3 linked regions of the Arabidopsis thaliana genome follow. The protein of the gene in region 1 interacts with the protein of each later gene in a pairwise test. Each region holds a gene or a part of one and is shown on either strand. Other genes may lie near its edges.

The links. The genes of interacting proteins can lie anywhere in the genome.
Region 2: the proteins of PUP18 (region 1) and RING interact in a protein complementation assay, tested with the Arabidopsis thaliana proteins (one large-scale study listed by BioGRID).
Region 3: the proteins of PUP18 (region 1) and CLH1 interact in a protein complementation assay, tested with the Arabidopsis thaliana proteins (one large-scale study listed by BioGRID).

The regions. Positions count from the first base shown.
Region 1 is NC_003070.9:21,440,611-21,444,645, forward strand, and holds PUP18 (purine permease 18), read right to left. Parts: upstream 2,427-4,035; 5' UTR 2,263-2,426; coding exon 1,090-2,262; 3' UTR 569-1,089; downstream 1-568. Other genes in the region: AT1G57980 (Nucleotide-sugar transporter family protein), read right to left, coding at 83-122.
Region 2 is NC_003075.7:10,712,870-10,716,701, forward strand, and holds RING (SBP (S-ribonuclease binding protein) family protein), read right to left. Parts: upstream 1,877-3,832; 5' UTR 1,767-1,876; coding exon 1,711-1,766; intron 1,623-1,710; coding exon 764-1,622; 3' UTR 541-763; downstream 1-540.
Region 3 is NC_003070.9:6,802,946-6,806,835, forward strand, and holds CLH1 (chlorophyllase 1), read right to left. Parts: upstream 2,148-3,890; 5' UTR 1,979-2,147; coding exon 1,709-1,978; intron 1,556-1,708; coding exon 851-1,555; 3' UTR 541-850; downstream 1-540. Other genes in the region: AT1G19680 (RING/U-box superfamily protein), read left to right, coding at 2,964-3,294, 3,561-3,592, 3,674-3,890. UniProt on the Arabidopsis thaliana protein: Catalyzes the hydrolysis of ester bond in chlorophyll to yield chlorophyllide and phytol. Shows a preferential activity toward chlorophyll a. Does not seem to be required for chlorophyll degradation during senescence.

The DNA of each region.
Region 1 (4,035 bases):
AATTCTCAGTTTTTATTTTTTATTTTTAAGAAGACAATAAGAATAGAAACAATTTTTACAGAAGTTAAGACAGTGAAGTTACCATGTGTTGTTGTATGTTTGGAAGCTTCGGTCATCTCCATGAGTTTTCTCTGGTGGATCTCTAAAGATTTAGATATGTAAATTTCATTCCCTGTAGATTTTCCAATTATTGAGAATGATTGAGGAGAGGCACATTAAACAATGACTAGCTAGTGGTGATTAAATTCTTTATAATAATTAGAAATATTACTAAAACTTATACAAAACCATGCGATCCTTTAGACAGATCAGATTTGGTATACTTTGAAAACGACTCATCAGTTGTGGTCCTTGAGGACATCACTAGGCTATAATTTTATTCCTAACAATCATGTATTAAACATAAGTTAACCTAATAAACTGTCAATCATGATAGAGACTAGACTACTCACTTATGGTCATGCTAAAACACATATTGAAAAACATTAATCAAATAAGCAAAAGTACATAAAGATCATTTAAAGCTCTTATATATATCTCCATAAACATAAGATCATCTCATAAAATAGTTTACATCTCTAACAGGTTCCTTCAAGAACCACAAAAGTTTCTCTTAGAACCAAATCAAGAACAAGTACACATAAGAGCTAAAAGATAAAAGGGTGAAAAATATCTCTCTTGAGTGGCAATGTGGCATGACATGTTGAAGATCCAAGGAGAGTTATAAATAAATCTCTAGAGGAAAGGAAGGAAACTAAGGGTTTTTGTTCTTACAACGTAAAAATTATAGCCTATATATAGGAAAAGACTTGTGAACCCAGGTTAACCAGCTGTGAGAAAGATTTTTTTGTATCTATTTATTAGTTATTACAATACTTTGTTGATGAAAGTAAGAGATAAATTGTAGTGACAAATCCTCATTAACAAAATATTGTAAGAGATAAATACAAAAAAAAAATCAAATCAAAATAATTAACAAATATGTTCCATAGTTTTCAGATCTATACAACATGTTTTAGACATTGACTTACAACATTCAGAAGAACAACAACATATTTTGAAACAGAAACAAACATTTGACATGAGAGACTAAACGTCAATATTGTTCTCTGTTTGGTAAAGCTCCACCATCTTCTTCTTGTTTCTCTTATGCAGAGTGTAGAAGTAAGATCCTAAAGCCACAACTGTTGCTATCAAAGTACCAATTCTAGGCCAACTAAACTCATCATCCATGAAATCAAATGCCAACACAACAAACAAAGCCACAAGTGGTGAAGTACACATATGAACAACATCGCCAAACACACCCGAAACATAAAGCACCAAACCCATCAGCCCGACCGCCCAAACCTGCCACGACAATGCCAACCCGATCAAACTCAAAACGTAATACGTTTCTCCTTTCTTAAACCTGTGGCTATCGCCTTGCAGTTCCTTATTCTCGCCACTCGCAAACAAACCCACGAGACAAACAACCGTTGCGACAAAAGAGACACAAATTTGCATCTCTATGACCATTCTAAACACTTTCTTGTTACCATATCTCTTTGTCTTTACCAACACTTTCTCGAAACAAAGTTGGAATAAACAGAGAGATAATGCGAAAGCAACTGAAGCAGCGAAAGTTAACCAAGCTTGGATGCTGTAGAATTCTTCGTTTTCATCAGGCTCTCCTCCAAATTCAGGACTACCGAAAACATAAATCAAAATGCTGCCGATTATCGATAAGATAATCCATCTGGTGAACTTAAAACGGTTAATAATGGCTGCGAAAATAGCGGTAAATATCAACTGAGTCGCGGAAATCAGCGTGAAGACGCCAAAGTTTGCGTATAATTTCCCAAGTGCAAACAATTTGCTGTGAGCAGCAACAAGAACACCAAGAGAGATGTAAAGTAAGATGAGACGAAAAGAGAGGAAACGAGTATTGGTGGTTTCTTGGTTTTGTTTTGGTGAAGGGAAAATGAAAAACAGAGGAATGAGTAGTGGAAACGCAGCGTTTTGGACCAGAGCTTGCAACCATGTTCCTCGGTATTGTAGATCTTGGTCACTATCTTCTCGATTGTCTTGAACATAGAAGAAGTTCAAGAGAAGCATGACTAGAGAATCTCCGAGCAAGACTAAGAAAATACATAAAGAAACAGAGATCCACCATTTCTTTTGTTTTAGCTCCAACGATCTTCTCGGACTCAAGATTTGGTCTGGTTCTGGATTTGCTGATCCTTCTGCTGTTGTCTGTTTGGAAGCTTCGGTCATCTCCATGATTTTTTTTCTTCTTCTTCTGGTCTCAACTTTTAAAGATTTGAAAATATGTAAATTTCATTCTCTGTGGATTTTTTTATATAGTGGTTTCTAGTTTTGATAAATGGTTGAGGAGGAGAAGTGCGCGTTAAACAAACAATGACTTGTTCCACCTTGGCGGCGATATACTTCTTTTAGATAATTAAAAAAGATCACTAAAACTTATACGTAATCATGTGATCCTTTGACAGATAAGATTTGGTACTTTGAAAATGACTCATATTCAGTTTTGGACATAAAACACAGTTTCTACTTTCAACCACGCTATTTCCGGAAAGCTATTATATACACTAAAGTTAATTTAAACGCAATATTCGGTTTGTTTATTTATTTTTTGTGTTGATTTGTAATAAATATCATAGTAAAGAATTGTGTATCGATTTGTCGATTTTAATGATGTAGCAAAAAAAATTACAAATCTTACACGGATGAGACTGATCACACCTGATCAGTGAAAAAATCTGATTTTAACTAGAAAGTTAATTTCGAAAACCAAATAAACAAACAAAAAAGTTGGATGTAAGTTGACTGCTAACAAATTTTCGGACAACAACAAAGACTTTCAAAGAAAGTTACCTATACGTCTCGTTCCTACTTTAGAGGAACAAGTTGTAATGGAGACAGTCAACTCAACGGTCAAGTCTTGCGAACTTCGCATTTTTATATTCGGGGAAAACAACGTCGAACACGCTTATACAATACATGGATATGATTCAGACAACTAAGAATAAGATGTCTTCCCAACAAATAAGAAAGCAAGCTGGATTTCAATAATTATCCATGTTCCATAATGAAGACTTGGTCTCTCAAAAAAAGAAAAAAAAAATAGTCTCTCAAACTTGTTTCGTTATTAGACTTTCGAGATATTCTTTTATTTCTTCTTATAATCGGTTAGACAATTAATCGATTAGAATTTATATTTGATGAATCAGTCTAACAATTTCAGAAGAAAGTACTTTTGTTAGAAATTTGTTATTAATTGTTTTTCGAAAATTTGTTGGAAACATGTTGTAAACTGTATATCACAATTTCTTTATTTGAAATTCTTGGTAATTATGTTGTAATTTGATGTTTTCTTTCAAAATAGATACTTTAAATCTCATTTTAGATGTGTTTTCAAAAGTCGTCAGAAATTCATCAAAAACCACAATTTTATCTATCTTCATATTTTGGACCCAATTTAAATATGGTTCTAAATCCTTCAGAAATTAGTCGGAAATCGCAAAGACACTCAGTGTTAATATACATTTAGTTTTATGCGGTGAATTTTTAGTATAGATTTAAAGATTTGTGACGAATTTTCGATGAATTTGAACATATTCATCATAATTATATATTTACACCTCAACCATTTTTCCGACAAATATATCCAAATTCATCAAAAAAAAAATAAAAAAAAATCGGTCGCTCTTTTAATTTCAAAATCATCTGAATTTAGTGTTGTTTTTGTTTCCTACAAATTAAAGATGCAATAGGTCGCTCGAACTTCTTTTTTATATATTGAACTACAGCTCCGAATATTAACAGGCCACACGCTGAATTTCTTTTTTTGGCCCGACTAATAGCTTAACTTTAGGGAGAAAATAAATAAATGGGGAAACTGTAACTTGAGATTTCCAATAAAATTGGCCGTTCAAATAGATATTTGATCGAGGGCCACAACTATGTGCTTGATCAGCTTGCGTCCAAGCACAGCTGTAGACATTTGTCTCATTCAAACCAATGTAAAACAAG
Region 2 (3,832 bases), on another chromosome or scaffold:
TCGTATTCATCGTTCTAATTTCGTCGTTTATAGAATTAATATAGGATATAATTTTAAAAATCCATTTTAGTGGGGGTATTTTATTTTGTCTAGACATGCACTGCACATGACATGATCCGAATATGAAATATTTATTACACGACAACTATAATGACTATGAACTGAAAATGTCGTTGAGACAATCGAATTCAGACTATTTCTTTTTCTTTTATCATAATTTATTTTAGTTTCGATAGCGAAGTATGATTCTTCTGGTTGAATATAGTTGCGGGGTTGGAAAGATAAAGGATACTTCCAAATTGCAATAGTATATATCCATAGACCATTTTTATACCTTTTTCAATTTATATCGACGCTATGATAATCTTTAAAAGGTGGTAGATAATTCAAACTCATGTGATCGACTTTGAGAATAAGCAACCAAACAACGGTGCAACTTAAAAAGAACTCTGGAATATTTACTTTTCAAAACATTTTCGAATCACTTTAAATTCATTTATATGATTTATTCTTTCTTTTTTTCCCACACATAATGAGAGGAGGAGCCTTTAAATTCTCTTCGACAAATTATTTCGTCTTTCTTTTTTGCAATTTTCAGTCTTGGATTCCATTTAAGTCGTAAGAAAATCAAGAGTTAACCAAAAACTAATTTATATGTACTTACAAAAAGAAAAGAATCAATTTGCTATTTCTTTTGCGAATATAATCCTAAGGAAACAAAAAAAATATAAATTAAATTGTAACGAACAAAAAAAAAAGATGGTCAAGAAGACATGTTAACATGCACACTAGCGTTCATGACCATATCGCAAACCGGACAAGTCCGTAACAAAGCCGAACCACCACAAACCGTACACAAACACAAATGACGACATGGTAACACCAACACACTCGCTTCTCTCTCACCGCACCGTTTACAACCACCACCAACCGCCGTTACCGCTTCACCACCACCATCACCGCAACAACTTCCACAACTCGATTCCGCATCGTCTTCTACAACGGCTGAAGCGGTTGGAAACGTTTCGAGTTGAGCAAGAACTTGGTCTAGGTTTGTTCGAAGAGTATTAGCGTTTGCTTCGTTGGTTTGAGCGATATCACGCCAAATCTGATTTTCGACGTAAAGACTCTTCACCCTCTCTTGTAAAACCCAGTTTAGGTTTCGAATCCGTACGATTTCATCGTCTTTCTCTTTTAGTTTCTTGGCTATAACGTTTTGAACCGCAGACGCTAACATCCGCGTTTGCGTTTGTTGCCTTGCTTCAATCTCTATTCTTAGCTTCTCCGTTTGCTGAGCTACGAACCTATCGATCTCTGACTGTTGTTGGTTTTGAATCTGAGATACGAGTTCAACGTTTATCAACGACGGTGATGATGAGTCAAACGCTACGGACCTCCGTTTAACCGGAGCGTTTGAGTCTGAGAATTGAAAATCTCGCTGGCGTTTTGTAGACAGAGGAGGAACAGTGAAATTGTAACTGAGACCACTTTCTGCTTTGTTGAAGTTGGCTTTCGCAGCTAAAGGCTCAACGGCGAAAGATTCTCCGGTTATTAACGGAACTTCACCGCCGGTAAACTCAAACTCGCCGTGGTTCATGTTTTCTTGAAATTTAACACAATCTCTGCAAATAACAAAAATAAAAAAGATTAGAGGAAAATAAAAACAGAGGAAGTTTGTTTGTGAGAAGAATATAAAAATGAGATTTTTACCTGTTTGGTGATATAAACTGAGAGAAAATGTTCATGTGATGAGCTTGAACAGCCATTGTTGTTGAAAAAAGCTCCTAGAGATTCTGAAACAAAGAGAGAGAGAAGAGGGAGGAGTTGTGGCGACTGGTGAAGAAATCTATGGGATTGGCTTTTATTTAAGGGAGAGAAAAAAGTCAATATTTTTTTAATTTTCTATAAATACATATTTATTACTTTTACTATTTAAATATTTTAGATATTTAGAATAATTATGAATTCAAATTAGATATTGACTTTCATGGTATATTACCAATTGTGTTTAGTAATTAAAGTTTTTGTAAATTAAATGTTAGTAAAATACAGTTGATTTTTGTAAAAGGAAAAAGAAAAAGAAACAACCAATTTTATGAACTTAAAAGGAATATAATCTAGAGAAATATAAAATATACTAAGTTTTTATTCAACAATATATACTATCTTTCTTGAAGTTTGCAAATATTGGGACGTGTAAAAAGTTTTTTTTTTGTAATATTTCTTTCTTATTTATTGATGCACTCATGCATGTTTCCTTAGCAACATCCACATAAACATATGCAAGCTTGACTAGTCAAAGAGCCATTATAAAATCAATAAATTTTTTTTTGCTAATATGTTAATGATATTAGCATAAACTATTCGATTTTTTCTTTTGTTGAAAAAACTATTAGATTTTATGTTCTTGTCCATCCTTTTTTGTATTATTTCTAAAATTTAAAGATGCAAATCCTATAAAAAAAGGTGCAAAGCTGTTTTTTCCTTAAATGCATTTTTAAAAATGTGTAAAGCTGTCTTTCCTAATAAAATTTTTATGTTAGTTCACTGTATTCTCTTCTGTAAAAAGATTCCAAATTAACCTCTCTTTAGTCAACCCATATTTTTCTTATTAACTTTTCCTTATTTTGTGATTACTGTAATTAAATTTCATATCAAAAGATAGTATTAAATATGCATACTCTTCATTTCTTCAGTTTTATTTTATTTAAAATTTAAACCATTCCCATGATTTTAATTTTACAAACTATAAAGTTACTCTCGTAATTTTATTCAATGTGGCAAAGCTCCGCTTTATATCTGCCATGTCATCTTCCACCGTGGCATATTTGGGACTTGTGATTTACTTTTCTAAATTTTCCGTGAGCTATCTTAAGATCATGTAGCGGTGCATTGTATTAAACGAAATGGCACAAAACAATAATTTAACCATTGTAAATACATTTCTAAAGTTAATATGTTTCTTAATTTTGTTTTGTCGTAACTGGTTAAGTTGCACGTGAGAAGCGTGTGGGGCCATGATGTGAAGATTGAGGCCACGTCTAAGTGGGACCAAGAAAAACTTTCTGTTTCATTTCTTCGTGAAATTTTCAATAAATTAATAATTGTTTAGAAATAAATAAAAAAGATTTATTGTTTCGGTACCACCAATTTTGTTTGCTTCTTGAATTGTCGTCTGGTCGCTTTTTAATTTTTAATTAGTAATTTCCGTATTAAAGAAAAAAAAAAGGAAAGAGAAAATCGGAATCATTCGATAATGTTATATAGTACGGACAAGTAGGTCTTGTCATAAAAGTGTGATTTCCTCGGTGTGGGACAGGTCGACCACACCAAACGAATAGTCTTTTTCTTTTCCTTATTTTCGTTTTCATGCCTCTCTCTATTTTTTTTTATTGTTAATCGATTTTTTATCCACTAAACAAACATTATCATGATGCGTATCTAATGTTGTTCATACCAATTTTTACATAGTAACTTGAGCACAAAAGAGTTAATCGATTATTTTTGTTATAGTTATTGAAAAAACACATATATATTTATTAGGGCTAGACATAAGTACTCGTTACTCGTCTTATATTCGCTACTTGATTCGTATTCGCCTTGAAAAAACAAATGCTCGTTTTTAACAAGGCAAGTAACAAGTAGTATAATTTAGATACTTGCAAGTACAAATCAAGTAACAAGTAATGAAAAAAAACTAATACTCGACTCGTTTGACTCGATACTCGTCATTATTTTACCATTTTCTATACATATATTGTATTGTTTTAGTGTTAGACACATTTTAAAACTATATTAGAAGTAAAGTAAATTTTAAATAAGTAAAAAATAT
Region 3 (3,890 bases), about 15 Mb from region 1:
TGGATGTGACTTTAGTGGGATGTGTGGGAAACTGTTTTATCTACTTTGAAAGTAAATGACCAATATGGGCCTAGGCCCATTTAAATATCTACCGGTCCAAGCTTTATGACTCGATCCTTTTCGGCTCATCTCAATTCCTTTCTTCAGCAGGTCAGCTGGTGGTTATAACTAACAATCTTTCGTATATACTAACAATTATAACAAACACACGTGGAACTCGAGAGTAAAATAACCACCACATACACAAGAGTCACGAGACTCACGACGCACCTTTCGTATACAGACAATCTTAGGACCATTTGCCTACAATAAAACCTTAAATGTGGTTTTGTCTCCATTTTGCTGTATCGTTGTCGTAGTGCAGGCCCAAATTAATTTGTCATTGTTGACTTGTTTGTAGAGTTTGGAGCTCTCATTAAATGTTGTAGTGCAGGAGCAAATTTTTCCTTTCTCCTTACGAAAATAAGATCGAAATTGCGATATGTTACAAATACCATTAACTTTAGAATACAACAAGAAAGTTTGAATAAGGGTATGTTACAAAGATATAGAGTTTGTGACGGAGTTAAACCAAATTACATGAATCATTGCAACGAAGTTGAAAAGCTTGGTCACATTTCATTATATAAGAATTATATAGAGAATTATATAGCTATTTAAATGTGTTTAGGTTTTAGTATAAGAAGAAGCTGTAAAGTTTTGGGGTAAAACTATAACAAATGTTTTGATCGAGTTTAATAAAAATACACATGCAACTTAGGACATGAACAATAGCTAGCTTGGAGCTAGAAAACATTGATAGGTTTTTCAAATATTCAAGACCCCTCTGATAATAGTACATAACACAAATCTAGACGAAGATACCAGAAGCTTCTTCCAACTCAGGTGAAGGATCAAGCTTGGCCGGAGAAACGGAAGGATCCTTCACAATCAATCGAATCTCCGCTTTTTCACCCCACAAACTATACTTGAGAAACGCAACCACAATTCCACCTACAAAGCTCCTCATCTCAGACTTTTTTCTTTGCCCATTCTTACACATACAACCGGCCATAAACCCAACAAAACCGGGCAAATCATCGTCCAACATATCCATATGTCCGTAATCCGCAGCCACGAAATGGGCTTTCGTCGCCTTACACTCTTTGTAAAACTCCTCATGGTTTAAGTCCGTTGGTGCGCATGGTGGCATCACGTTGTTCCACTTCGGTCCGAGTCCGGTTCCCACCACTGCAACCGGTATGTCCAGCTCGAAAGATTCCGGTTTATACGTTAAGATATGCGGATCGGTTCTAATGTATTTGTTAGTTCCTGCGACTGGATCAATTCCTATTAGAGCTGAAAACGTGATGGATGGGTCTAATGTTGCGGCATGGCCTAGCGCAACCGCAAACGCCGTTTTCCCACCGCGGCTGTGGCCCACGAGTGAGGTGTATTTTCCATTAGCATTTACCGAAGTTGGTAGGTGAGCTTTGAGGTTTTCCGATGCCCAGTTTATCACACTTCCAGCATCGTCCACTTCCACTTGCCCTCCCGGCGGCAATAATTTGCACAACTGTCATTCAAGAATATAAAATTAACTTATATCTTTTCACGTAACAATCAATCTCAATTAATGTACATTTTGTTTTACATGTTACATGTTACATACCGTAAGTTATCCTTTTAAATGATTCATAATTATTTTTTGTATAGTTAAATTATGTACCTGTGGGGCTACAAGAATGTAACCATGCGAAGCGATGTGGTTAAGAACGTCAGAGTAGAAGTAGTTGCGAAGATAAAAGCCATGGAAGAATAAAACGACGGGATAAGTTCCGGCGACTGTTGGACAGGTGATTCTCACCGGTTTTGGCGGTGCTGTTGAATCATTTTCCACCGGATCCACCGGTATCTCGGTTGTCGGGAGGCTGCCTATCTCAAAAGCCGCCGGAGTTACCACAGAGGAAAACGTTGGACTGTCCTCTATCGCCGCCATTTGTATTAAACTAGATAATTAAAGAGTTGTGTTGAAGATTTATGTATGAATCCTTCGAACTTTAGCTAGTTGTTTTGTATTTATAGGGGGAGAATGTTGATTTTTCTTATCCGATTCATTATAATTCTGTGGTTCTCTCGGCTTCTCATCGTAGTTATAACAAAATGAATTAAATACTTTCGAAAACGATAAATGCATGGGCTGCGTAAACAAAAGAGCATGTGTTGATTCAAATTATTACAAGTTAGTTGGTATACAATTACTCCATGCATTTATCATTTTCGGAGTACAATTTAATTCGTTTCCCGAAAACGATGTGTCCATAAACACATACCAAGACTTACTAAGTACTACTAAAAAATATAATCAAATTGCATTAGGAAACATATTGTTATGTTTGTTAAAAAAAACATTTTGTTATGTTTGTTCAGTAAAAAAAAAAAAAAAATTGTTATGTAAAAAAAAAAGAAACAAATTGACCAAAAAAGTAAAATTTGACCAAAAACAAATAGTAGCACAAGAAAAACAGAGAACAGAAAAAGAAGAGAGGAAGGGTGACGTGGCACAATTTCCCTGCGACGCACCCAACCTCCGTCTCTCTCTCTCTCAGATCGGCGGCCATCTCCGTCGAGTAATTGAAATCTCTCTCAGCCGTTGGATTCGAATTCCGCCGCATCTTCATATACCTCGTTTCAATCCTGCGGAACCCTAGTTGCTCTGGTGAGTCCCTGGTGAACCCCCGGATTTTAGAATCATCTATTGTATTTACTTTAATTCCGTTCCATTGATGATTTCTGCGTTAGATTTTGAGGTCTCTGCCTTCACCTCTATGTATTATAATGGCTCTGATTCGAAGTTCACATTCTGTTTGTTTATATGCAGAATTGTGGTTTGCTACTGTGATAAGTTCTTCAGTGGTAGATTAGGAAGCACCACCAATGGAGATTGTGTAAGACATATTCATTACAGCTCTCTTTTAAGGATTATGGGGTCTGTTTGCTGTGTGGCTGCAAAGGACAGAAATGTTCCCAGTGGAGCTATTGATAATTCAGTGTGTTCACCATCGTGGAGTTTTCGACGGGACAACAGGAGGCGTGTAGCTGATGAGATTAAAGATTCATCTAATCATAATGTTGGGAGTAGAGGTATTGACATCGATAAGTTGTCGTTAGGCTTAGAGAGAGGACCTCCGTCATCTGAAACTGGGGGTTTAGCTACTCTTGGCTCTCAGAAATCCGCAGACTCAGAGATGGGCACAGCTTCGATGGTTACAGCTCCTTTAGCGGGTACAAGTTTGGCGATTCGATCTCCTTCAGGTATGTTCGTTCAAACACTTTTTTTGTGGGGAAAGTGTAGAACTTTCAGTTTCATTGTTTGGGAATATACTGTTGAGTCGATTTTAGTTCCTTCGTGGATGTTCTTTTCCAGTCTACTCAATCCAGTCAAAGGGGTAACAACATTTATTTGGTAGGATTAGATCGAGAGACATTTCATTTTTTGGTAGAGATCATTTCAGCTTTATTTTCTTACTGTAATGAAGGATTTTTTTCCTGTCTCTCATGCATCTATTTTCTCTGGGCAGATGTATCCTTGGCAAGTCCTGTTCGTGTTGAGGTGAGATCATTACTTACTCCAATCAGAGTCTCTTTTCGTCCCTTCAGAGTCTCTTAACCCTCTCGTCTTTTAATTCTTCAGGTGAAGAATATAGTTGACTCATCAGATATTGTTTCATCAGTTTTACCAAATCCGTCAAGTTCCACCTCGGTCTCTGATCTTCCTTCAGCTCACACACATTCACTTCCTCCCAGATCAACTCCGTCTAGACGTGCTCGAGGTTCACCTGGGCAGCAGTTGTTTAGGCAGGTTTCTGATAGTCAAACTTTGGGATTGAAATCTCCCAATAATTACTCAA